Drosophila melanogaster: one gene and its partners. The protein of the gene in region 2 purifies or fractionates together with the protein of the main gene of each other region. This does not show direct contact. Each region holds a gene or a part of one and is shown on either strand. Other genes may lie near its edges.

Region 1 (8,021 bases), on a different chromosome or scaffold from region 2:
AAGGAAAGGAAAACCAATGGGGGGCAACTACGGCAAAATTGATTACGTTTAATGCGAAAATTATAAATATGAATTAAATTAATCAAATTTAATAATAATTTCAATTATATTTAAGTTAATGAGTAGTACGTCAGTAACATAGTTTAGCTTTAAGTCAGAACCAAAAAAATTAATCATTTAGATAGGATTGGATTAAACTCAATGTGTGTATGGATTTAATCTGATCGGCAGCAGCTCGCACTCCTCCTGCTCCTCCTGCGCCTATTGCTCCTCAACCGGCTTGGGACCATGGTGACTGGATAGCTGGACAACTGGACAACTGGGCTGGCCTTCACTTGTGCGCAATGGGAATCAGTGTCTCGCCGGCGGTGAGTGCTGGCAGGGGGGCGTCCACGGTCAGGACTCCGTCCTTGCTGAGGGACGAGCGGATGGACTCGGGATTGACGCCCTTGGGCAGCAGGAACTCCCGATTGTACTCCCTGTACACGCTCTTTGTGTCCGACTTCTCCTCGTGCTTGGCGTGCACCTAGTCGAAAGGAATCAGATATCCATGTTAGATAAACTCTGCAAAACATAACCATCCTGAGCAGAGACTTACCAATAGCTTCTGGTCGACGGTTTTCACAACAATTTCCTCGGGCGCATACTGGCTGACATCGAAACGCAGCTTCAGCACTTTGTTATCGCCCTCATCCTGCAAAGGGGGATATATAAGTGTTATCCTTTGGCAACCAAGAGTAGATTCCTTGCATTGCTTACCTGGATCAAGGGTGAGCTAATGTCGGAGACGTAGTTCTGTTGCTTTGGGATTCGGGATGGCAGCGCCGAGTTTGTCGTTGAGCTGCAAATAAGTTGAGACGAACATATTGTACATGAGTATTGCAGTTGAGTGTTGAAGCGAAACTTAAGAACAAGTAGACTCGAAATAAAACCAAAGGTGTTAGGGTTGCGTAGGTGAGGTAGGAACCTGGTGGAGGAGTTTGTGGTTGTTGTAGTAGTGGTTCTGGTGGTCCTAGTGCTGCGAAAGGTATTTTGCAGTGTGCGCGTAAAGGCCTCCATGCTGATGCTTCTCCGGGATGAAACTGATCCGGACGTAACGAACCCAACTTAAATGAAGCCGCGATGCTCGACGCCTGTCTAATAATAGATCTGGCTTCCGCTTGAAAGCGATGTACGTATGTATGTATGTACATGTGTACGGATCTGGGGGCAGCAGCTGTCACCCTCGAAACATAAATCTCCCCATATGTCTGTAATAATTTCTATTTTAAGGAACTACCCATAAGGGAATTGAGAATTAAGGCTTCATGTATCTAGACTACAAATAAAACTATTCCTTGCTTCCTTGAAATTGTATGCATACATATGTATCTATGTATGTACATATGTATGTATGGATCGCATCAAAACGGTTTTCTATTATGAAAAACTGCCTATACTTACAACTTTTATAATTTTATCTTTTAGTTTTAAACGAACTGTATGCATTTCTAGTTATGTATTTGCGTCTATACCGGGCTCAAAATTGTTTATAAATAAATGTTATAGTGTATATTTGGCGATTAACATGCGATGCATCTGGTAACGAGTTTCTAGTTTAGTCTGTGTGGATTGCAATAACATTAAACCAATACATTAGTTACCAAACAATAAGGGGTTGAGTGAATGAAAAAAACATTGAGGATAAACAGAAAATAAAAGTTTAGGTTGTAAACTTTCTACGTTATTGTACCTGGTAGTTGTTGTTTTTTTAGTAGAGCTTTTGTTTTAAGAGAGAGGAGAGGAGATTATTATTATGTGGAAATTATTGCGGTTGTTTAATATTTCCAAGCGGCAAGAAAGAGAAAAATAGATAGAAATTGTTTATAATGAGTTAGACAAAAAGATAACTACACATTATCGTACAAGGGTGAGCAATTTTTTAACTATTTTATAAAGGTACAGCCTTGACTCGATATTAAAGTTCTGGAATTTTTAACAATGATCAATGAAAATTTCAAGCCATTCATATGTTTTCTTGTAATTAATATTTAATCATTTTTGGTACATGTTTCTTATGCATATGTACATATATTAATGATAACTCCTTTGTTTTCCGCACTTCCAGTCCCCAATTTCCTTTAGAATGCAAGTTTATCTATTAAGATCCAAGTGTTTCAAGCATAGCATCTAAAAAAAAAGAATATGTATATTACCTACAATAGAGGAAAGTATGCATAAAATATTTACATATTTACCCAGGAAATAATTCATTGGTCCATAATTGTTCACTTTGTATTACATTTTGTCGCACTGCTTTTTCACAATAATTTTTATTTTTAGTTCAAATTAGTAAATCTACACTTATTAAAATTTTGTGATTTCATTTTAAATAATATTGTATTCTTCACTTCACTCTCACATCAATTGATAGGTAAGTCGTTTTTTTTTAAATATTTTTTATGGTTCACCTTAATTTGCATTCTTAGCTTACGGGATTTGATTGACCGTTAAGCCGCTGTGCGTGTCGGCGATGAAGCCAAAATGTATGTGTGTATCTGTGTGTGTGTGCATGCGAGCGAGAGTCGTTGATAAGCGGCCATCAATTGGCACTCCGCAAATTCTGAGCAGAGGCAGAGAAAGCTTATCAATCGGAGCCGAAACGTGAACGTGCGTGGGCTTATTGGCGACCTTGCAATGTGCTTTGCGAGGTTGATCGCCCCTCGAAGAGAGAAATCAATAGCGCGCTAATGATAAGTACCAATAACCGTTAGCCGCCTGGCCAAAGTTTCTTTGGACAGCATGAAGAGGCACCTGCCCTCCCACTCTGGCAGCCGCTCTCACTCCCACCCTCTCCGGCCAGCCCACGTTTTTACATGTGTGTGAGTTGTGTGTGTGTGGTGCGACTACAATATCTCGCTGGCATCTGATGACAATGATGTCATGCATATTTTTTCGTTATTGAAAAGCCAAACGAAAGGAAACCAAAGAAGAACGAAAATAAACACGGGCGCGAGAGGCGGCCAAAAAACCAGAACAAGCGCAAACAAAATGGCTCTCTTTAGTTGTTTGCGGTGTACGCGTGTGTGCGTGTGTGTGTGAACAAATGTCGAATTAAAATATCGATTATCGACGACGATCGGCGTTTTGTCATCGATTGAAATCGAATTGAATAGCATCGAGTCGAAGCGCAGCGCAATAGCTAAAAATTGACATGATATCATCGCAGTTCGCTGCTCATTTGAATTATCAGCATCCAGCCAACAATATTGGCAACTAAATCGCCGCAGCGTGTGCTCATCGCAACTGAAAACTGTCCGTGTGTGCGAAAGCTTTTCGCACAGATCTATTTGCTGGTTAAATATGTGCATATGTATGTATGTATGTACGATCCTAGCGCACTTATTTGTTTAAACTGTGCGCACACACAATGAGTCTATAAATTAGGCAAACCGTTGGCATTGCCTATGTTTGGTAGCCATCCCATCCCATCCGATCCGATCTGGCCAATACAATTTCCATGCATTTGCATGAGATAATCGCACCAATCTATTTTACTGGGAACCGCATCCAAATCCATCTGAATCCGCACATTGTTCATATCTGAAGGCGCCAGCATTGATGTGCGGTCTTTGCTTATGGCCAAGTTGGTTAAATGAGGCCCTGCACTACACACAATCTATCGTTAGTATGTGACAGTACGTACATACATACACATATGTATGTATATACATACATATGTTCAAGAAAGTTTTATTTAAAATGTGCAAATGGCCTGAACAGCTTTTGGCAGCTACGCAGGAATTGCATGTTTGTAAACATGTTTTTCTTATGCCATAATAATAAAATATACATTGTTGGGAATGTATCCAGTTAAAAGCATAAACTATTGCTTCAAGTGGCAACTTCGGTAGGGCATAGATACACCTACCTGTATGGATTTATTGCCCTGTATATGGGGCGTGCGTTTATTCCGTGCTGAGTCATTCAGATATCACGCAGCGCTTCAATTGACAACACGCCACAGCCACAGCCAAGCCGCTTAGGTCAAAGGTTGCGGACAGTGGGCAGTTATGGGCGAATGATTGAATTATTTGGCAAGTATATATCCAATACTACTACTAAGCTACTAAACTACGTGGCCAATCTGTGGCGATTATTAGGCTAATCGCCCGAAGCAAGCCCTGGCGCACAACTTATGCCGCCACTGTGAGTTTCCCTTCATTTCCAATTAAATTTGCAGCCAGGAGGGCACAATACCAATTTGGGTTAATTTCCTTTCACTGCCAACTTTGACGTTGAATGGGCAAAGTTGTGGAGAGGAGCGCTACCAAGTTCTGAAACAGACGGAAGTCTGGTGGGGGGGAGGGGGGTGGAGTCGTAACATTTCTGTTGTGGCCATGCAAATGCAGTGGCGACCATGGCGAAGGCAACAACAAATAGAGTCCATCGGTTCGATTGCGTCATACGGCGAGGTCGTCCCAATAGCAACCAAAACTGGCGCCCACGCAACGCAACTCCAATGGAAAGGCTAACGAGACGCGCAACCGCGACGGCGTCGGCGACATAGTATTTGCCATTCGCCTTTGGGGCATTGTTTGTTTATTAATCGCTGATTTGGGCAATAAACCTATGTTCATTGAAAATGCCACTCGTAACATTCAACTGGAATTTCTCTCTCTCCCTCTCTCTGATTCGTATGAATATGCGAGGGTGTTAAAATACCGCCGAATCACTTAATTGACTTGCAAATGGAAATAGATTGCTAGGTAAACGCGTTTGTCACTTATGTATGCTTTAAAAACAAGTAACTACAAATGGAAATAGTTAGAGATTTAATGAACATTATTCATGTGTGCCACCGATCGTTTCAATGCTTTGCGTTTTCAAATATTTAATTTTGCTCGCAGAGACCAGATTTTAATATCTTATCTCATTATCAACAATTACATTTTTCTGCTCAGCTAGAAACCCACACACACACACACATATAACGGAATATCTTGGCACAGGTGATTCTCAAAGTTCGAAAAATTCCGTTATGCCCTACATAACGGTTGCATAAACCGTATGGGACTCGAGATCGAGCGAAAGGGGAGGGCACAAGACGCTGGCTAGCCATGTGCCGGGGCGGGGGAGGGGGATTTACTAGCGGGTGGCGGGCAGCAGATACACATGTGTTTCTTGGCCGGAGACAGCGGCGGAGAATTTAGAACTGGTGACTCATCCTCCCCCAGAGCGACGGCAAAGAAATACACATAGTGTATCTGGGGCGAGAATTGAAGCGGGCCGCTCGCCTCCTATGAGGCCCACTGTTTAGTACATACATATGTATGTATGCACGTATGTACATATGTACATACGTAGGAGAATCTGTGGGTGAAGAGCTCCAGACCAGTGGGCGATGTGGCAAGATGTGCGCCTATATTTAGAGGAGCCAACAACGAGGCGATGAGTCGAGCGATTCGGGATTGGGTTCCATCGCAGTACACCCGGTAGAATCAGGCTATGTGGAATTATCCCAGTGTTGGGATCCCACTTGTATCACTATTACGCTTACCTGGTGGACTCGAAGAAGTTCGCCTCGCGGTTCATCAGCTCGTGACGGAACTTGGCCATCTCCTCCTCCATTTTGCGCATCTCGGAGTCGAAGCGCTCGCGGATGTTGCTGAACTCCGTGTCGATGACGCTGAAGTCGCCCAGCTTGATGGGGATATTCCTCTTGTTAGCCTCGGCCATTGTTGTGCTGTTTGTGGTGGTTTATTTGGTGGTTGCTTCGCTAGATGGAATCTCCAATCTCTTCGCTGTACACTGTATACCGTATATACTGTATATACTGTATACCGTTCTATTATTCTCTGTTCTGTTCTGTTCTGCTCAACGCGCTTTCGAGCTTGTTCACTTGCTAATCGACGGAGCAACCAAAAAAAAAGGGAACTCGATGGGTTTTCTATATGTATTCGAAACTCAAGACGTTCAAGTGTGTGATTTCGGTTGGACGTATCGCACAGATAGCCGCGTTTCAATTTCTGAACTGTTTTGCATTCACAGTGTGTCTTTGCTTTTATAGCTTTCGTACCGATTGTACTTCGATTGCCGCTGCGCAGCAGTGTGGCGATATCGATAGACCGATGAAGCCGCATTTAGTCATCGATTTGCGGATTTGATTATGTTTCTATTGCCATTGGATCAAAAAGAACTTCTATCCGCAAAGGGAATTGTTTAAGCGTACTTTAACCACTAATCGTTAGCGGACCACCCAAAACACTATATTCGCTGTATTGATTTTGTATTTTATGGAAATAATGACGCACGGGGAACACATTTAGAAGTGAAACAATAGTTGTAAGACAAATTTGGTTTATACAAAATGACCGAAAACAAGGAAGCCATGATTTATTTTCCGTTAATAAGCTAGTAATTCATAAATGCAATGAAATAACATAACACATTTCAAAGCTCCTAAAAAACTTTCTAGGAACAAGTGTTCAATTAGCAACAATTAATTAGTTGATGATCAACTTGATCTTGATAAGTATGCTTAAAACTTCTCGCGTGGGAGCCATTCAGTCATGGAAGTGAGTTCCTCGAACTGTGATTCCAATTGCATCTGGTTCAGCATTTGTGTGCTGTGAGTGCGAGTGGAAAGTGTGAGTATGAGTCGTGTTGAGTTAACCGGTTAACCGATCAACGCTTCCTACCGTTTTGGGAAATGATCTTCGGTATAGAGAGAAAGAGAGAGAGAGAGAGAGAGAGTTGCACATTGGTGGAAAGTGCATTTTCCGTCCTGCGGTGGGTTGGCATTATCCATCGTCCTAAAATAGAACATCTATGGCGTGATGGCCCACGATATCTTGTCCATATTCGCGGGGTTACTTACACCCAGAGCTCATCATCATTAAGACCTTAAATCAAAAAGCCAATTCCGCCCATTGTGCGAATCGATAAATCCCAATATTAGACCGGGTGGGTGGAGAACGTTGGCGGCCCAAATACACGCAGAAAAATATATGTCATATATACATATGTAAATTTAAATATCTCTATGCTGAGCTAAGATTGGAAATTGTACTGTTGTAAGCTTGTTAGCTATAATAGGATATGTTTCCTAATCTAACAGAGAGGCATTATAGTATCTTAGTATCTGTGTCGTTTTCTGCCAGTGTGCTTGGCCATATCCATGGTACTACCCACTCCGCCGCATCGGTTTGTTTGTAAACAAATGCGAAATGACTCAGCCGCGTGACATTGGCGGTCGGAGTCGAGAATCGGGAATCGAGCCAAGTCGAGTCCATTCGATTCGATTCAATTCCTTTTAGGGAGCGTCGGCCAGGGGAATTAAAATTTAAATTGAAATTAATGAGAGCCGGATTGCAAAGTTGCAACTGCAGAAAAAATGTGCGATATATATTCATAAGTTTTATGAACCATATGCATATTTAGCTAGACAAACTAGATTTTTCTTCAACTTAACAATTGCATCTCTCATCCATAAGAAAACTCATTAGCTGGAAATTTGATATCTTTTAAAGCTGTTATTGCCTGCACATAACTTACATTCTTTTGTTTTTTTTTTTTAAGTGCAAGTGCGACATATTAAAATGCAATATTTTGAATCCGTGACCGTTTTACTGCTCGAAATTCCATCGGGGACAACGGCAGTTGTGCCATCAAAATAATTATAGACTTAATCACGAATTTCGAAAATAAAACGACAATCATCGTGGCTTAACGGCTGAGGTGTTTTCATTGTACATCCATACATACATGTGTACATATGTACATATGTATTTTTCACAGCGCCCACATGCTCGCAATGGCTAATGGCTAATGCCCCCTGTCCAAACAACAAACTCATTTTCATCAATAATCTCGACCTTGAAGTCCCCAGTGTCCCCACAAAGCATACATATCGGTATTCAAACAAAATTAATTTTTGAAAAGAGGATTCCAAGTTTGCACATTCGTGCACGTTTCAGTCTTAATTCAATTGTATTTTGTGCCTTTTCAAATCATTCAAATCAATTTTGTTTGATTTCATA
Region 2 (5,025 bases):
AAATCCTAAAGAAAAGCTTCTGGCCAAGGTTGAGTGGATTAGGATTAATATTTAGAAGATCAGTCTGAATCGGGACGAGATCGTGAACAGTTTTAAATTTAAGACAAGAGATAAAAAGAATGTCTTGTAATAGTATAAGTGAAAAGGTCTATCATGAATAAAATATTAAATTATAATAAAATAAAAATTTTTTGTTCAAATAATTAAAAAGGAACACTTTTAATTTGCACAAAGATTAATATTGTAAACCATTAACAATGAATATAGATTTCAGTGATTTCATAGCTTAGCGATTGGAGATCCAAGCGAACACTCGAAAACCGTGTTGTCTGAACACTCTGAAATATTTTCCCTACGACCAAGTGAAGTTGAGGTTGCCATTTGGAGTCCACAAGAGTCCCATAGGCATTTAGAGAGATTTAAAGCTCGGCTTAACTTAGCCTAATATAATTTCGGTTAATGATCAACATAACCTAGCTGTAACCTGCCGTCAGAGTGGGCGTGGCAAAGAGTTTTGTGGCCAATCCATAGAAATTTTAAAGCCTAATAAAAATATGAAAAAATGAGTGTGCGTCTTTATCTCTAGAACCTGTATGGTTAATTTCAACCTTCTAGCTTTTATAGTTCCTGAGATCTCGACGTTCATACGGACAGATGGACATGTCCGCTACTGATCCTGATTAAGAATATATATACTTTATATAGTCGGAAACGCTACCTTCTGGCTGTTACATACTTTTCAACGAGTCTAGTATACCCTAGTATACCCAATTTCTTAGCAATATGATAAAATAAAATAATAATTACGAATTTACACCTTGAATATATCACCTAAAGTACGATATTGCAACAAAACGACTTTAATTAAATATATAAACTAGGTTATATAGCGAAACTTTCAAAAAATAGAGAAGCTCGGCGTATAGTCAGCTTTAATCAAACGGATAATAAAATAAAATAATAAAATTTTAAATTAAAACATAACTTTTCCAAAAAGAAGTCATTACATTGAGGAAAAGATATTTCACAAAAATAATAAGTAGTAGAAAATAAATATTTATAAAATGAATAAAAATATGAAAACTTTTTATTGCAAAAGTCATATCTTGAGACACGAACACGTTTATTGCAACAATGATTGCCTTATTAATTTTTCACAAGGGGCAAGTGAACGCCCTAATAACCTTTGTTCTAATATAGTCATCTTTGAAATTTATTTTGTGATATTATGTACATATATATTCAAATAATAATATAGTTAAGGCAAAGAAACTAGACACTAGGGTCTTTGGTTAAGGCCATGCAAGCCAAGAATTTTTTACATGTTGCCAATTAAACAAAGATAATACAGATGTAAAGTCTATGAACTTGTAAATTGTCAAATTTACAATGCATTACCATACAGTTGTCGGCTGTCACTGTATGCGTAGAAAAGAACTGCTGAGCCACCTCTGGAGCCATCCCGATAAAATTGTGTGCAAAAAATTGTATGGCGTTACGCATCTTGTTCTTCAAATGTCTTTGGCTTAACCTCATATAAGCTGCAATGACCACTTGACCGGTTCCATGTGACCTCATTTTAACGGATTATAAAACTACATCATAAATATGGCGCAACATTTAAATTGCCAGACTTGAGATTGTTACATAAATCTGATCCGCAGCAATTGTAAATGTTATTTTTATTGTATTTGTGCGCTTGCAAATTTGATTAATCCTATCCAAATACCCTTTCAGTAATTACAAAAACATATATGTCTACTTAGCACCCATAGTGTTAAAAAACGAAACTTTTATTTATATTCTATTTTGGGTGTTTAATTTTCAAGCAGTTCTTAATGCAGCTATATGATATAGTCGTCCCATATTAAATAAAATTAAAATAAAATGTATATATTGTTAAAATATCGGATTTCGGATAGTTCCGAAGATATGTATAAAAATGGCTTTATGTATTCAATGCAATGGAATATAAACTTAAATTTTTTGTATAAAATATACGTAAATTTTTAAGGTATTTTAATTCACTATAGGATACGTTTAATAAGCCTAAGTCCTTTTCTACTCACCATACATATACCGAACGACAAAATCGACACGGTTATCCCAGGAATAAGCCATTATGACGGAATTTGTTTGGAGCTTATCCTCATAAAATGTAAATAGCTAAAAGTAGAAATACCATTACTATCTGAACTAATAAAAGTCTATAAATAAATTAAAATTTTTTGGTATCTATAAATAGTACTTTTAGGTAAAAAGTTCTTGAATAGTAAATATGAGCTCCTTACCTTCGGAATAGCTTACTTCAGACTAACTAAATTTGCTAAACCTTTTGCCAAAAGTCGTACACTTTGGCAACATTATTTACATGGTATGTATCTAAACATTATACATACAAATGTGTATTGTATAGAAAGTGCATTTGTATATATTTGTTCTCTTTCAAAAGGTAGTTTATTTTTAATTAGGAGTTTCCATTGTACTAAATGTAATTATTGTATTAAGTAAACTATAGCACTGTTTTGAAATCACAATCAATAACAATTCAGTTTTCTACTACCAAATATTAAGCCTACCTGTTACAATGTTATTCGTGAAAGTTTCCATATAGATTATGCTCTAATTAACCATTTAAAATGGAAAAAAAGCGAACAATTCACCCCTATTTAATTTTGTATTTGAACACTAATAGTAAAATATATCAAAAATCATTTTAACATTTAAAGAATTGATAATTAATTGACATGATTATTAATAGAAAAATATTTACTATTTTTGCAAGCTTACACACATGTATATTCACAAGTATATATTTATAGTACATGCATAACCTATTATAAAGCACACATTTTATAAAACTCACAATTCTTATTTTCGGTTTTATGTACATATACATATACATATATAGGAGATACAATATTCAACATTCAAATGTACAGTTTTATGTCTTATTACCATTGTGATCGGCGGTCTATAGTTGTCTATTACTGTTAAGATATAATATTATATAAAAACAATATATATACATATAAGAAAATATATATATGTTTTTATGCCCCATACGTGTAGAGTAAAATTAGATTCGTTGATTCTACGTGTAACGGGTATAATAATATAAAACAAGAGAGAAGGCTATAGTCGAGTTCCCTGATTATCAGATACCAGTAACTAAGCTAGGGTCAATGCTAACGCGAAAGTTCATAATTTTTCTGGAAAATCGATTGATATCGATTGATTGATTGATATTAGAAAAAAAATAAAATGAAAAAAAAATAAAAAATTGTTAAAAAAGTGTGGGCGTGACCGGTTTGGTGGCTTTAGGGCGTTTGAGTGGGCGTGGCAAAAAGTTTTTTGGCAAATCAATAGAAATATACACGACCAATAAAATTATGAAAAATATCTAACAATTTTTCAAAAGTGCGGGGGTGACCGGCTTGTCGGCTTTGGGGCGTTTGAGTAGGCGTGGCAAAATTTTTTTTTGCAAATCGATACATTGATCCTGATCATGAATATATATACATTTTATTGTCGGAAGCGCTTTCTTCTGCCTGTTTCAACCAATCTAGTATACCCTTTTACTCTATGAGTAACGAGCATTAAAAGAGTTGGACTATAAACTTAAGTGAGAACATCGTCTTTATAAGCTGCGAGTCTTTAGCTGTCGGCTGTGCTGTCCTTATTGGCAGAGGATCGACGTCGGCTTCTTGGAATCACAAGCGCTGGTGGGAGCGGAAACAATTGCCAAACACATTTTGGGAAATCTGCTTGGTGGCGCTGAGCTTGCATATTTGGGGTTTGTTACTCTATTACATTCTGTTGTAGACCGATGTTGAATTCATTGTTATTAACTTTAACTTTCTAATTTATGTAGGGAATGTTATTGAACTGAGGTAGCTGATGTTAACTTTTGTTTCCATTCCCGGTATAGGTCTAAGCTGCAAGTTTATGCTTCTCTTCCTTTGACTATAGGTGTGAAGGCCCAGGATGATAATCAGAGTATTGTCGAAGAGCGTCAGTAGGGTTATGCTGTTGGCCTTTTATGTATATGCAACGGTTCAGTGTTTCAAGAGATATAACCTCAGTCTTTCTTTTTCTTCATCTGTAAATTGTACAAGAGGCGAACTAGGAGACAGGGCTGTAGGTTCCAAGTTGGCGAATCCCCCTGTTGTCGATAATCATCGAGTCGTTTGATAGCTAAACAAAGTAGGTGAAGCTCTGTGAGGATCCAGGATATGATTCCATCGTAATCGTTTAATAGGATGATTCCGTCGTCGACCTCTTCCATTCTGGATAAGTTGTCGGAGTTGCTAAAACTACACAGATCTTTCTTTCCCAGAACTAAATTTGGAGAGCAATCAACTAATTTAATTAATTAATTTCTTATATTTACAATTTTTTTCTCATCGCATATTTATATATGTATATATAGGTAAGATTTTCGAAAGCAAAGATTTCTTGAAAGTCTAAGTTGTTGTAGTTCTGTTGTTTTTAACTATTGGTTTTACAATGATATCTTAGTATTTCTATAAAGTTTGCGACTTTTACGATGTACAAATGTGTTGTCTTATTATGTAGAATAGAGACCTCGGAAAACGCCATAGCTTCTTTCATCGATAGTAATAACATGTTGTTTCCCTTAAATATTCTTTCTATTTCAATTAATTCATCTTCATTTAGTACTAGTGTGTTACGACCTCTTGTCGCGCCCACTGGATGGCAGTTTCTACTTTTAGGAGTCTAATCTGGGTTTGTAAACTAAGAGCAATTTCTAAACGAACGGAACTGCCCTTTTGTATAGAAATTGTTAGAGCTTTAGATACTGTAGTCAGTTTGTTTATTCTTTCTTGTTTGTAAACAATGACTTGTTGGTTATTGTTGTCAATGAGCTCTGCTCTATTATGACCAGGTCATCGTGATCTGGAGTGGCCGCTATGTATTTTCACCTGGGACCTAGCCAATTTAAGAACTATTATTATTGATAATTACGTATTTCCCTTTTCTTTTTATTATGATTTCCGAGGT
Region 3 (7,641 bases), on a different chromosome or scaffold from region 2:
TTATTCAATTGAATCCCGAAGAAACCCAACTAACTTTTGCGACACCCTGTTTAGCCGTCTTGTTTTATGTACTAAAATAAATACGCATAAGGCAGAGCAGAAAAAAAAGTGAAAGATAAATGTAAGCACATACGCAAACAGACAAAACGGTGTGTATACAAATTACGAGGGAGAGAGTTAGCAGCGCTCTCTATTTGTATCTATCTTTCTCCGGGGAGAGAGAGAGAGAGCGAGAGAACGCTCCCGTTAAACTGTACATTTTTATTTCGAGTTTGAGTCTGAGAAAAGCGCTTGATTTGCCAATTTATCTGCCTTACTGGCCGAACTATTTTATTTTTATCAAGAAATGTGCTACTCGATTATGGAATGCGACTGCTTCAGGCCCCCAAAACTTGTTCGAATACCGCGTGCTCTTGGCGATACTAACCAAAAATAAAGTGGCCAAACATGACATGAGTAATTTACCGGCCGGCAATGTGTGTTTTCATTGAGAGAGTGCATTGGCATCGCGCTGAATTGCGTTTGCGTTTGCATTTGCAATTCCCGTAGCCACAGCGACTGATAAATAAGGCCAAGCGTATGAGTTATAGACGTAATGCCACAATGTATCTATTGCTGGGTAACGCTGTTCAGCGGACACGTCAATGCTAATGACCTATGGGTTTATTAAAAACACATTACCCACCCCACCAAAGAAAAGGCCCTGGCTAACTGTACTCCCCGCCTATATAAGCACGGCGGCCCTCCTAACCTCGATTTGAACCTAACAACAATAATCTTTGATTGCCGGACCCGCAATCATCTTGGTTAATCGTAAACAACACAAACGCACAACCGAGCCAGCTATACGCTCTCTCTTTTGGGGGCATATGTAAGCCATTGGGAGAGTGCGCTGTTCCGAAAAACGTGTGTATATCTATTTCTAGAATTTTTCCTCGAACAATGCTATGCTACTGGCATATTGGCTTGGAGTGAATCATTAGAGGGGCCTCCTTTTGGTTTTACCGCGTAAACAACTACCTAGTCACATAGATCAGTACTCACTTCTGCTGGCCTCTTGGTGCCTTTCACGGATTCCTTTGCGGGGGCAGCGGCGGCGGCATCGGCGGCATCCTCGCCGTCCTTTGACGTACCGTTGTCGGCCGCGTCGCCGGCGGCATCGGCAGCAGCGGCCTTATCCTCGGCGGCCGCCTTCGCCTTGAGATCGTCCTTGACAGCAGACACATCATCTGCCGCCACCTTCTCCACGGCCACATCGCCGTTGTTCTGTTGTTCCGTAGCAGCCGACATATTTGAATTGGTTTCTTTGAGGTTTTCCGGAACTATTTAGTTTCTGCGTTATATAGAGAACAATTCGGGTTGGTTTTGTGGATTGTCTTGTTGTTGACAAAAAACCAGCGCAAAATACTCGGGGAAGGCGAGAGAGAGACAGAGAGAACCGCACCGAACGAAGCACACAAACACACTGAATGCGATTCAGCTGCGGGCCGTCTATTTAAGCACTGCCTCTCGAGGAGAGAGTAACTTTCTTTAAACGCTCTCGCTGCTCTCTTTTTCGCTCTCCCCGAAATCGTTACGACGCTCACTCGCTCTCTCTCTCCCACGCCATTGGCCCATACAATACACTCAAAAAATCGCCGCGGCATTTGTACAGCCGCAGTCGATAAGACAACAACAACAGCCCAGAGCAGAGCGATCGTTGGATTTTTGGTATATTATTTTGCGGTGATTTTCTGATAATATAGTATCTATATAGTAAGGCTTTAGGAGGTGCCATATATCAGGCGGCGCTACGGCAGGCAAAAGGATTTACTCGTAGGCCCCACTGATGTATGGAATATCCGTTTTCCTTTGGTTTGCTAACCACCGATATGTGCTCCCGTCGACGGTTCGTACAAGACTGAGCTTGCCGTCCGTTCGATGGCTAGAAATTGCCGCTTGCTTCTTCTTGCGCCAAATCGGTTGCAGACATTTTTGCCTATAACTTGAATACCTTTGTTCGGATCGGTTCAGAGACTGATCGAGGCTATAGCTGGTAGTATCCGCTTAATTTTGGGCTTTTTCCCGAGGCGCTGCGATCAAAACTAGATCCGCAAATGACAAGTTGAGTGGGTTTCCTGATTAATTCCATACAAAATCTGCTTGGGTTCCGTGAGTACGGTTGTGGGCGCGTTTGGCGGTAAATTTGAAAATTGCGCGCGCCAGTGGTGCGCTTGTGGGCCTGGGGGCGGGGTCTGGGGGTTGGTAGCGGCGATGGTGGTGTGTGGTGTGTGTGGTGCAGTCACTCTGTGGCGTTCTGACCGTTCGTCGGTGGAACAGAACAGAACAGAGCAGAACAGTGGATGTGGATGTTGCCGATGGGAAGAAGTGTTGCAGCATTGTTGCCGCAGATGCAGATGTGTGTGCTGTGTGTTGTATTCAGCACGGTATTCGTATTTATAGAGTGGACCAGCGTGGGACGCAATGTCGTCGCGGATTGGGGTCAATTGATTGGTAACGTGTGGGGAAGCAGGTGATTTTCGCGGACCAGGAAAGCGGGCAGCTATTTTTGAGATTCTAACTATTTAGATGCACGCAATCGGGGAAATGCTCTATTCCGGGATTATGCGTCTTAAAACTAGAATTAGAGAACTGGAGAAATAGCAAGAAAACAGCAATTTGCAACCCCATAAGATTCGAAAACATTTAAGGGTTAGTTTTCGAAATCGGCAATTTCCAGAAATATTAAACATCCTTAAGTCCTAATGGCCCCACCAAAGACTTCGACTTAAATGCCAATGCCTATCACTCGTCGAATTGGGTCCACCCTTGACTCTTTTTTCATGTGCCAATCTTTCTGTTGATCCCGCACTTGTGGTTCGACCATTTGATGGTGATGGCTTCGTTCGCCGCACGAACCCAGTGGGTTCAGGAATCGCCCAATATATGGGAAACTGGAACTGCCGAGTAGGCTATAACATATCGCCCATATCACCTGGTAGTCAACGTGCTCGAGTTGTACTGGCTCTTCTCTATAAATCTGTGTTATCAGTGGGACAATCACTGCGAGGTTGATCTTCAAGTTCATTCAAAATGTGCACATTAACGAGCGGAATAACAACCCATAAAGTAATACTAGAGGAATTCGACCGGAAGACATAAGGTTCTTGGTGCTATTTCCAGTAGCCTATCGACGAAAGGGTAATAACTATCGTTTGCCGGGTATCCAACAGTCGAGTTTCGATTGGACAGCCTCTCACGCTTTCAGCTATTTTCGTGCGAAAGCAATGGCAAATACGAATACCTAGGCTATATATCTGGTAATCTGAATAATACGGTCGACGACAGAGCGAGCGGACGACTGTCGACAGGCGGATCGCTAATTAAAACCGGCGAACATGTTCCGCGGCATCCCAACCGAGGCGGCATGGTGAACGTAAACACCTGTAATCGTGGCCCGTCGTCCACTCAGTTATCACATATTTGAGGAGCAGCGATGACTTTTTGCCTGAACATCGCTGCCTGATAAGCCGATTTGCGTCTCCATTTCGCTGTGCTTCCATGGGCCGCCTACCGTTCTTCTCTGGCTGTCACTGTCTCACTTTCCGTCCGCCGAACTCTCAGTATCCGTTCGAGTGGCTTGACGCTCGTCGGCCCAAGATTGGTGGGTCTCTCGCGATACGAATAGTCGTGCTCATCGGGCTTGTGAGACCACCTCTCGGTGTTGAACAATGGTATCTAGATTCCTGAGGACAACCTGTGCCAATTTCTCGAGTTATCGGCTTGGTTGGTACGACCGTAGTTACTTCAAGGTTAGACAACGGTTTCAAATGCAGGCAACCACCGGGTAGGTAGGATCTCAAGCAGGCAGAAATGGATGGATGGTCCTGCTTCCCGGAACCCAAACATCTGTCGATTCGGAAATTTTATGGCCCTTTCGAACACGAAACTAACGCAAGGGATTTTTCCCCGACCGTTGTCGTTACTGACCTGCCTCAGGAATTTCTCCCAGTGCACTTACACGTTGTTGCGTCATTAATTTGCTGTAGCATAAAGGTGCGAACAAATCTCAATGCAAACACAATCGATAGCCAGACGCTTCAGCTAGCATGTGTATCTAAAACACACACATCAGCTTGTATTCACGGCGATTAAGTTTTTCGCTCTTTCAGCTTAATGCGGTGCTTAATAGATTTCTTCTAATCGGGTTGTTAGGCTTTTCAAAAACGGAAGTTTCAGTTCTTTTGACAGCTTTATTTCGATATGATATCATCGATAGCATGGTAAACAATGTATGAAGAGTAGCGCAGCTCACCGTTCAGATACAAAACCAATTGTAGCGCATACGAATAGCCACCATAGGCTGTCCCTTCTAGCGCTTAGGTACCCAACAAGATGGCTGGGTGGAACAACATGAACAGGTTTACGACTCGATTAGAGTGATTGTTAGACTGTTGCTAGATGGGCGATTCGCTTGGTCGCTTGGCTGTTGTTTGGCTGCTTGACTCTCTGGATTCTTGATCTCTAGCGCTAGCACGTCATCGCCGTCGCCGTCGCATTGGACACTTTCGGAGTCGGGTCTCGTTTTCCCGGCATGTGCTAATGTTTCCACACGAGTGCCGGGCCACATGGACGCGACTCGACCAGGTATATGTACTGGCCCGGCTCACCTGCTCGCCTGCGTTTCACCTGCGTCAACGGGCGGTTTACACGCAATTATTAAAATGAATTTAAGCAGCCCCATTGTCTTCGATTTCCAATACCACCTGACCCAGCAGCAGCGCCGTGGTGTCATCACCAGTGGGTACCCGGGTCCTCGGCGGTGCCTTAATTGCGCAGAGCACCACAGCCGTGACGTGTGAGTGGACATTCTTCCGACGGCTGGCTGAAGGATGAAGGAGGACAGCCGCTACCACTGCAATGCTGCATCTGAAGTGCCCCAAATAGGCTTATACGCACCCCAGTCTCCCAGGCAGCCACCCAAAACCCCATCAGATATGGCAATCTATCGATTATTTTAGTGATGTGCTCACATTACAATTGGTCCTTTGGGCAGATTAGTTCTTTGAAAACCCGCCACTTTGGCTAGAAAACCCCCGAATGGCCAGCAACCAACCCAACCTCGTTCGTTCCCATATACCTTACTTTGCCATCTGCGTCATGCATTTCGCTGCACTGAGCACTTGTGGTGGGTGGTGGTGTTCCGTGTGCTGGGTGGTGGGTGGTGATGCGGTGGGTTAGCGTTTGGTGGTGCCAGTGCCGAGTGCCGCCGGTGGTTGCTTGGACCGCCGGAGATGAGTAGAGATACAGAGTGGGCAACAATGAATGAATCATTGGGGGAAGAGGCGGAGCCATCATCATGGCATCATAAGCGGAATCCGTTTGCACAGTCAAAATAAAACAACGGCCACCGAGAAAGATTGTGTGATTTGACTTTGTTGGCCTCAACAGAAATCATTTATTCAATAATTACATATTGACATACAAACATCAAAGGGGCGGCTGTTACATACGGTATGGACATATGTATGTACGTCGTAGATTATTATTATTTATTAAATTTTTTTTTTATTATTTTTATAAATTAATTATAAATTTTTATAAAAAATCACTAATTCGGACTTTCAGTTAAAATTTAACAGACATTCAAGGGTGTGGAAGAAAAAAGTTCTAAGGGGTTAAAATTTATTATAAAAAATTTATTAAAAAAAATAATTTTTATATGTATTTAAGTGAAAATATTATATGAACGGTTTCTATTTAAGTTAATATAAAAAAAATTGTATACTGTAAATAGCAAATGATCAATTAAATGATCTAGTCAGAATATGCAGACATTTATTTTGTTAATTTTTAGCATATGATTATCTATGGACAATATTTAAATATTATGAAAATAATGATATTTTAAATAATAGATTTTTAAATTTTAGAATTGTGTGGCCCCTTTTCGACACCCTTGGAACGGATGCTTCACAGCACTGTGCTGACAGCACTTACCAACACTGCTTGGGCGCCAAATACAGAGTTGCATTTGGAGAGTACAACTTTTATCCAACTTTCGAACGAGAATACAATCCGATACCAACTTCGGACTCCAAAATAGGAGTATACCCAGCTGGATCCTGCGCATGGCACCTACCAATCGGCGGAAAACCGCTTGCCACGGATTGACGCCCTGGAAGTGGAGATGCAACCCTAGCAGCTCACCGACAAAATGACCTTGCGCTGACATTGCCGCACAGCAGTTGAGGACGAAGAAGATTCGCGGAATCAGTGGTATCGCAATCCGGAGTTTGCTAGCACGCACAGGAAGTATCCAGAAAATCCAGAAAAATCCAAAGATGGCCTTCAATAAGCTGAGCATCGAAAACCTGGACTTGGCGGGCAAGCGGGTGTTGATGCGGTAATCCAAAGCCAATCCTCGCGTGAAATTCAGTTGCATAAACATTGCCCGTGCTTCTTTGCAGCGTCGACTTCAATGTGCCCATCAAGGAGGGCAAGATCACCAGCAACCAGAGAATTGTCGCTGCCTTGGATAGTATCAAGTTGGCCCTTTCCAAGAAAGCCAAGTCGGTGGTGCTGATGTCCCACTTGGGTCGTCCCGATGGCAACAAGAACATCAAGTACACCCTGGCACCCGTGGCCGCTGAGCTGAAGACCCTGCTTGGCCAGGATGTGATCTTCCTAAGTGACTGCGTCGGCAGCGAAGTGGAGGCCGCTTGCAAGGATCCCGCACCGGGATCCGTCATTCTGCTGGAGAACGTCCGCTTCTACGTGGAGGAGGAGGGCAAGGGCTTGGATGCCAGCGGCGGCAAGGTCAAGGCCGATCCTGCCAAGGTCAAGGAGTTCCGTGCCAGCCTGGCCAAGCTGGGCGATGTCTATGTCAACGACGCCTTCGGCACTGCCCATCGCGCCCACAGTTCCATGATGGGCGATGGCTTCGAGCAGCGCGCAGCTGGTCTGTTGCTGAACAAGGAGCTGAAGTACTTCTCGCAGGCCCTGGACAAGCCACCAAATCCCTTCCTGGCAATTCTCGGTGGCGCCAAGGTGGCCGACAAGATCCAGCTGATTGAGAACCTTCTGGACAAGGTCAACGAGATGATCATCGGTGGCGGCATGGCCTTCACCTTCCTGAAGGTCCTCAACAACATGAAGATCGGCGGTTCCCTGTTCGACGAGGAGGGCTCCAAGATCGTCGAGAAACTGGTGGAGAAGGCCAAGAAGAATAACGTGCAGTTGCATCTGCCAGTGGACTTTGTCTGCGGCGACAAGTTCGCCGAGAACGCTGCCGTCAGCGAGGCCACCGTGGAGGCCGGAATTCCCGATGGACACATGGGTCTGGATGTGGGTCCCAAGACCCGTGAGCTCTTCGCGGCACCCATCGCACGCGCCAAGCTCATCGTGTGGAACGGGTAGGTGTCACACTGAAGCTACTTCTCCAAATGTCCTATAATGGTTTTCCCATTTTAGACCCCCCGGTGTCTTTGAGTTCCCCAACTTCGCCAACGGCACCAAGTCCATCATGGACGGCGTGGTGGCCGCCACCAAGAACGGCACCGTCTCCATCATCGGCGGCGGCGACACTGCCTCTTGCTGCGCCAAGTGGAACACGGAGGCACTCGTCTCGCACGTCTCCACCGGAGGCGGCGCTTCGCTGGA
Region 4 (5,500 bases), on a different chromosome or scaffold from region 2:
GACTATTCCGAGGAGGAGGAGACACCCAGTGGTGCCGAGTCTTCCACAGAGGCTGTGCGCGATGCCTCCGAAGACTAGATGATGCCACAGCCGCCCTTCTGGAATGGAATGTTTGGATCAACGAATTTTATTCTCAAACTTCCCCAATGCCCCCATTAGCCTTGCAAACCCTTACCCGAAATCCACACCGTGGTCGAAGCAATTATGAAACGTACGATTTTCCCTGGCGATTTTACCCAAGCACAGATATGTGAAACTATATACCATAACCGATATATATATATATACATTATACATTATAAATTAGCTGGTTCCATACATATAATGTGTCTTTTTTTTTTAAAAATGAAAACCATAAATTGCTGTAATTGAATGAGAACAATTCGTTTTGAATAATTCATGAGTGGTGTGAAAAGCCAATTGGCTGGGAAACTTTGTAGCATTGTATTTGGTAACTAGTTAGCCATATTTAATAGGTCTAAACTTTTTTTTTCGATTTTCCCTTAAGTAGGCATTAAGACGTGATATCTGTTTATATTCGAATTAAATTTTATTGATGCAGATAGTGGGATCTAGTAGTATAAAATGTGATCACTGCTTGGCAATCTTGTTAGCATTGCACTGGAGATCTGTGTAGATCTGCTCGTTCTGGATTTCGTTTTTGAGCTCCGTGGTGAGCTGAACGGCTTTGTCCTGCAGAGAAAGTTGTTTTCTTTTTAAACGCCGAAGCTTAAATAAGGAAAGAGGATAACTTACGTTGAAATACACATTCTTCTTGCCCTTCTGGAATTCGCCGAACAGAGCGAAAACATCCACCAGCTTGCCGCGGGCACCAAACTTGTCCGAGATCAGCGAGAACAGATGCTTCACTGTCTCCTGCTCCACGCTGGTGGTGTCCGATCGGATGAAGATGGCACGGGGCAGCTGTACGTCCACGTTGCAGTCACGGAAGTCGGTGACCGGTCGCCGCTCCAGACTGGGGCACACCAGCTGCGCGTCCTTGTGCTTCTCCAGCTCGGAGGCGGGCACGATCTGCACCTCTCCATCGTCGCTGGATGAGACACGACAAGCGTCCAGGCCACGTCGCTTGTTCAACAAGGCGGCAGCAGCACGGGATCGTTCGCAATTCTCATTGAATTTGCTGCGGAATATTGATAGTATATGTAGCTAATGTGCTACGGATGATCGAGGGATTCCACTTACATGCTGGCCTTCTGGAGAGCCTCCCGTGTAACGCCGGGTGCTGCGACCGCCACAAGGACATCATCCTGAGCCCTCTGCTCGTAGACGATTGGCTGCAGCTGGTTGCTACGGGCATCCGCGTAGCCAGTTGCGCGAACAATGGTCAAATCCGCCTCCTTCTTGGTCAGAGCCACCACACAATCGGTGGACTGAACGCACTCGAGTTCCGGACGAGCGTCGCGGGCGTAGGCAGCCTGGTGCAGCGCCTGGCATTTGGCGAACTCGTCGTCGTTCTGGGCGCACAAGCGGATCTTCCTGATGGCACTGCCATCACGCTCGATCACATCCTTGTAGCCGGCACGCTCCAAATAGACCTTGGGATCGATGGCAGCATCCTTGCTGTGGTACACGGCATTCGGCTGGATGAGCAGATGGGCGGCGGCGTCCTTGTTCTGCGCCTGCAGTCCATTGGCGAAGAAGCGCTCCAGACGCGACTGCAATTGGTGCAGCTGCTCCGAGTTGTGAACGGCCTGCTCGTTGGAGATGTAGCCGCTCCAGGGGCGCTGGGCCCAGGAGCAGGCGGGTCCGGTGACCGGGCGCCGGGTGCCATCCTCGCACAGATATTCGAAATTCTCCGGATTGCCCTCCGCTGGCGGCGCATCTGGGCCGGCACCCGGCAGACCAAAGTACTTTTTGATGTACTGCACCTTGGAGAAGGCCACCTCGCCCTGACCCTTGTCCAGGCAGCGTATGGCGCCATCATAGCCACTGAACTTGTCCGGATAGTTGCACTGCTCCGGCTTCTCGCACAGAGCGCACAGATTGGCGTACTTCTTCTTCAGCAGGCGATCCGTTTCCGGATGCGTGGAGTAGGTGCCCACCAGGCACGACTGCGTGAAGAACTCGGACAGCGACTTCAGTTCGCGCTCCGTAGCGGAGATCTGCGGATCGGCGGACACCTTCAGGACGTGCGTGTTCTTCAGCTTGGTGATGGGGATCTTGTAGCCGACGTTGCGGCCGAAGCCAGTGTGGCAGGACTTGGCGCCACGCAGCTGCTGCAGGGTGCGAATGGGGGAGTCCTTCTTCACCAGGATAATGCCCTCGTAACGGAAGGCGGCTGTCGAGAAATGAAACCAGTAGGAGATTTATGAGTAAAAAAAAAGGGAACTAGTAACTATTTTGGTCCTTCGAGCCTTTTGCTTCGAATCGCAAATTAACAACAAAGGGCCATTAGTCATTAGTCAGTACTATACATTTTAAATACCCTTTAATTTCATTCGAAAGCATTTCGCATTTTGCTCCCACGAGCATTTGCACCACTTACCATCCTTGTCCTGCTGCGTTCGGATCTCAGAGATCACGCGATAGTCCTCGTTCTTGCGATGATAGGCGATGTACATGTCCTCCGGCTCGGTGGCCAGCACATCGGCCTTGCGCTGCTCGATCAGCTCCAGGCAGTCCACTCGATCCCGTCCAGCCACGCACTCCATGCGGATGCCCGCCTCCGAGGGATCGGCCAGCAGCTGCTGGCACTCGGCCAAATAGATTTGCGGCACACACAGGCGATCTGCCGTTTTGGGTTCGTATGAAATGGATTCAACTGGTTAGATGCATTCAACTAGTGACTCCGGGATGCACATACAAATGGGTTCCTCCGCCAGGGAGGACTGCGGTCCAAGGATCAGCAGGAGGGCGGCCACCGCCAGTGGCAGCCAGGTGTGGGTCTTATGCGGCGACATCATCTGAGAAACAGTTGAAGCTCGACTGTGGAGAATCCGGAGCCGGCTGGTGGCTTTTATAGCCACCCAGATGTGCTGCTTCTTTCCCCGGCTTTCGTGCTCTTTTTTTTTGCACTCGTATTTGTTCTCTTTCGCTTCTATTTGCCCGGCGACAAGGAGGCACAATAATACCAATACCAATACCAATAATAATAGTAATAATAATAATAATAGCAATCATAACAATAAAGAAAGAAAGACAGTCCAGGCGACCGGTTTTTCCCCGAGGAAAGGCGTGAGTGGGCGGCAATCCAGGCCTATATACTCCGGCAAACGAGTTTGCGACACTGATATATGGCTATGCCATTAAATGCGATTTTCGCAAATCAATTAGTATGCTACTCAATCCATGATCTACCTTAAGTTCGACTTTTTGCTTGTCTTCGAGACAATATATAGTATATATAATCGACAATATAATCGATCAAAATCAGAATTTAGCCTGCAGCATTTGTGTGTTTGGTAATTAGTTTTGGATCTTGGCAATAATCAAACAATGAGCCATTGAGCCATTGATTCATTGAGCCAGCGCTTTCTCTTGACAGAATTTATTTAGGCACACACACTAATTTCTTAAGCACATTCTTTACGAACATTTAAGCTGGAAAAATTGCAGTGAATAGGTTTTAAAAATAGCCTATTTAACTATTTGATTGCGATTGTCAAAAAGCGTAGTTGCTGACATACAGCTAAAATCGAGATAGAAACGGCCTGGCTGCTCTTCACTTAATTGTCTTGGCACTTGATCCCCTAATCGATCGAGCCATATACTATATACCTGAATAATTTGATGCCACCGCACCGACTGGCACTTGGTTATTTGTGCCTATTGAGTTATATAAATGCACTGGTGCCTTCAATTTCTAAGAACTCACTACCCTGCCAAATAAACGGGCAAAATCTTCTCTAGTCGCTTGTAGTTGCAGCAACCGGTTGAGTCACCACGGTGGGAGCGACGAGGAGCCAGCCACCACCCCATCCCCATCCATTCCCAATCCATGGATGTTAATCATGCGAGCCCTTAGTCCCAGGGGCATACGTACTTTAGTCACTTATTTTAGTTCTGTTTTTGCCAGCCCATTTTTCATCATTCATTTGCATTTGCATTCATCTAATGATTCGGCTACTTTAAATTCACTCTTCTTGGAAGTAAACAAATTAAGAGTAATTGCCTTTTATTTATACACTCCGAGGGGATATTTTTTGAATTTTTAATTGGACGCATAACTACGATCTTGAGATGGCCAATTTGAAAAGTGCAAGTATTTATTATGATAATTTAAATGATTGCACTGCGTTTAGATAATTTGCAAGCAAAATCTAGATTTATATGTTATGCGAAATTGTTTTATATTCCTAAAAATGCAGGGGATAAACTTCGAGTGGATAAACTTGGAGCTCATTTAAGCTTCTGCAAAAAGTGAGAGTATGCGCTATTCGCATATCACTCACATTCGCTTTCGCACTCGTCTCTAGTTTTATATACTTCAATTTCGCCCCGCTATCAGGGCATTTGTTTATTCAGGCCGGGCACAGAACCTGTTCCACGATGGGATCAGATCACCTAGCTAGTCACCCGCACCGGCTCGTTGCAGTAAGAGCAACGAAGAGGAGCTGTGGAGAACTGTCCACATCCAGCAGAGAATTGACGAACTGCTTAAAATGCAGGCCGTGCCTCCTCCTTTGAGGGAGGGGGCGTGGCTGGGCAATGAGTCGCGGGGGCGGCAATTGAATGATGAAGTGCAAAACGAGATCACAATGGCAAATGCCGTGGGACTTGGGACGTGGGCGTGGGCGGGGATCTTTCTAGTGGAATCGAAACCAGAAACCGAATTAGATTGCTTGGCAGTGCCGCAGATGCAAACACACACACTTCGCACTGGGCAAGGTCAAGAGCCCCGGAGCGGTCGGGAATTTACCCGGATCGCAATGGGTTGGGGATTTTTCCGAGTAGTCCGAGGTGGCCTCTTATCAGCAGTCCTCTGGCACGGAGGCTATCTGCAGCCAGGTAATAGAAGGGAGGTAATGGAGCTACGCCCAGCACAAAGTGTGTTTGTCAGCGCAAAAGCTTCGTTGCATTATTTAACCGCACGGAAAAGGCATTCATCAGGGAAATTGTATGCGATAAAAATGAAGCACTGCTACTCACTTATTTTAAGTACAAATTGCAAATCGAATGGCATTTTTGAAACAGTGATACTTACTATTTTAAATAAAAGTATATAACAAAATAATATTTTGTTAAATGTGTTATATATGAAATGAAAAATTCATTAGCTTTAACTTAATGTAGAATAATTTGTTTATAACACTTTTCATTTTTTACATTTTTGGCATGCATTTACATAGTTACATAGCATTTCAAACTGCAGTTATGGCGCGAAAAAGACACTGTAACTTAACAGCACTCGCTCTGTAGATGCAAGCACTGCAATGCAAGTAAATTTCCAGCTATACATTTGTGGAGCTTAAGTGCATCTGCTTTTTGTACATTCTAATGTTAAACTTGTTGAACTAAAAAATGATAAGAATGATAAATA

What was found.
Region 1: the proteins of Scp1 (region 2) and CG14207 purify together in Drosophila melanogaster (affinity purification with mass spectrometry, with the first as the bait; one large-scale study listed by BioGRID). This does not show direct contact.
Region 3: the proteins of Scp1 (region 2) and Pgk purify together in Drosophila melanogaster (affinity purification with mass spectrometry, with the first as the bait; one large-scale study listed by BioGRID). This does not show direct contact.
Region 4: the proteins of Scp1 (region 2) and Tsf1 purify together in Drosophila melanogaster (affinity purification with mass spectrometry, with the first as the bait; one large-scale study listed by BioGRID). This does not show direct contact.

The regions. Positions count from the first base shown.
Region 1 is NC_004354.4:19,603,201-19,611,221, reverse strand, and holds the start of CG14207 (uncharacterized protein), read right to left. Parts: upstream 6,024-8,021; 5' UTR 5,719-6,023; coding exon 5,540-5,718; intron 1,760-5,539; coding exon 1,733-1,759; intron 1,085-1,732; exon of another isoform or gene 1,060-1,084; coding exon of another isoform or gene 968-1,059; intron 842-967; coding exon 760-841; intron 695-759; coding exon 599-694; intron 527-598; coding exon 332-526; 3' UTR 1-331.
Region 2 is NT_033778.4:2,965,026-2,970,050, forward strand, and holds the start of Scp1 (sarcoplasmic calcium-binding protein 1), read right to left. Parts: upstream 3,028-5,025; 5' UTR 2,959-3,027; intron 2,320-2,958; exon of another isoform or gene 2,292-2,319; intron 2,167-2,291; 5' UTR 2,122-2,166; coding exon 2,070-2,121; intron 1-2,069.
Region 3 is NT_033779.5:2,747,064-2,754,704, reverse strand, and holds the start of Pgk (phosphoglycerate kinase), read left to right. Parts: upstream 1-1,636; 5' UTR 1,637-1,710; intron 1,711-1,864; exon of another isoform or gene 1,865-2,260; intron 2,261-3,715; exon of another isoform or gene 3,716-3,791; intron 3,792-4,557; exon of another isoform or gene 4,558-4,626; intron 4,627-5,391; exon of another isoform or gene 5,392-5,493; intron 5,494-5,912; 5' UTR 5,913-6,323; coding exon 6,324-6,385; intron 6,386-6,449; coding exon 6,450-7,394; intron 7,395-7,452; coding exon 7,453-7,641. Other genes in the region: Bacc (bacchus), read right to left, coding at 1,045-1,290. UniProt on the Drosophila melanogaster protein: Enzyme of the glycolytic pathway. Glycolysis is essential in glial cells but not in neurons; neurons rely on the citric acid cycle for their energy needs, and on lactate and alanine secreted into the hemolymph by glial cells to fuel it.
Region 4 is NC_004354.4:18,385,373-18,390,872, reverse strand, and holds Tsf1 (transferrin 1), read right to left. Parts: upstream 3,790-5,500; 5' UTR 2,925-3,789; coding exon 2,825-2,924; intron 2,750-2,824; coding exon 2,507-2,749; intron 2,300-2,506; coding exon 1,204-2,299; intron 1,142-1,203; coding exon 757-1,141; intron 694-756; coding exon 592-693; 3' UTR 529-591; downstream 1-528. Other genes in the region: Nt5b (5' nucleotidase B), read left to right, coding at 1-78.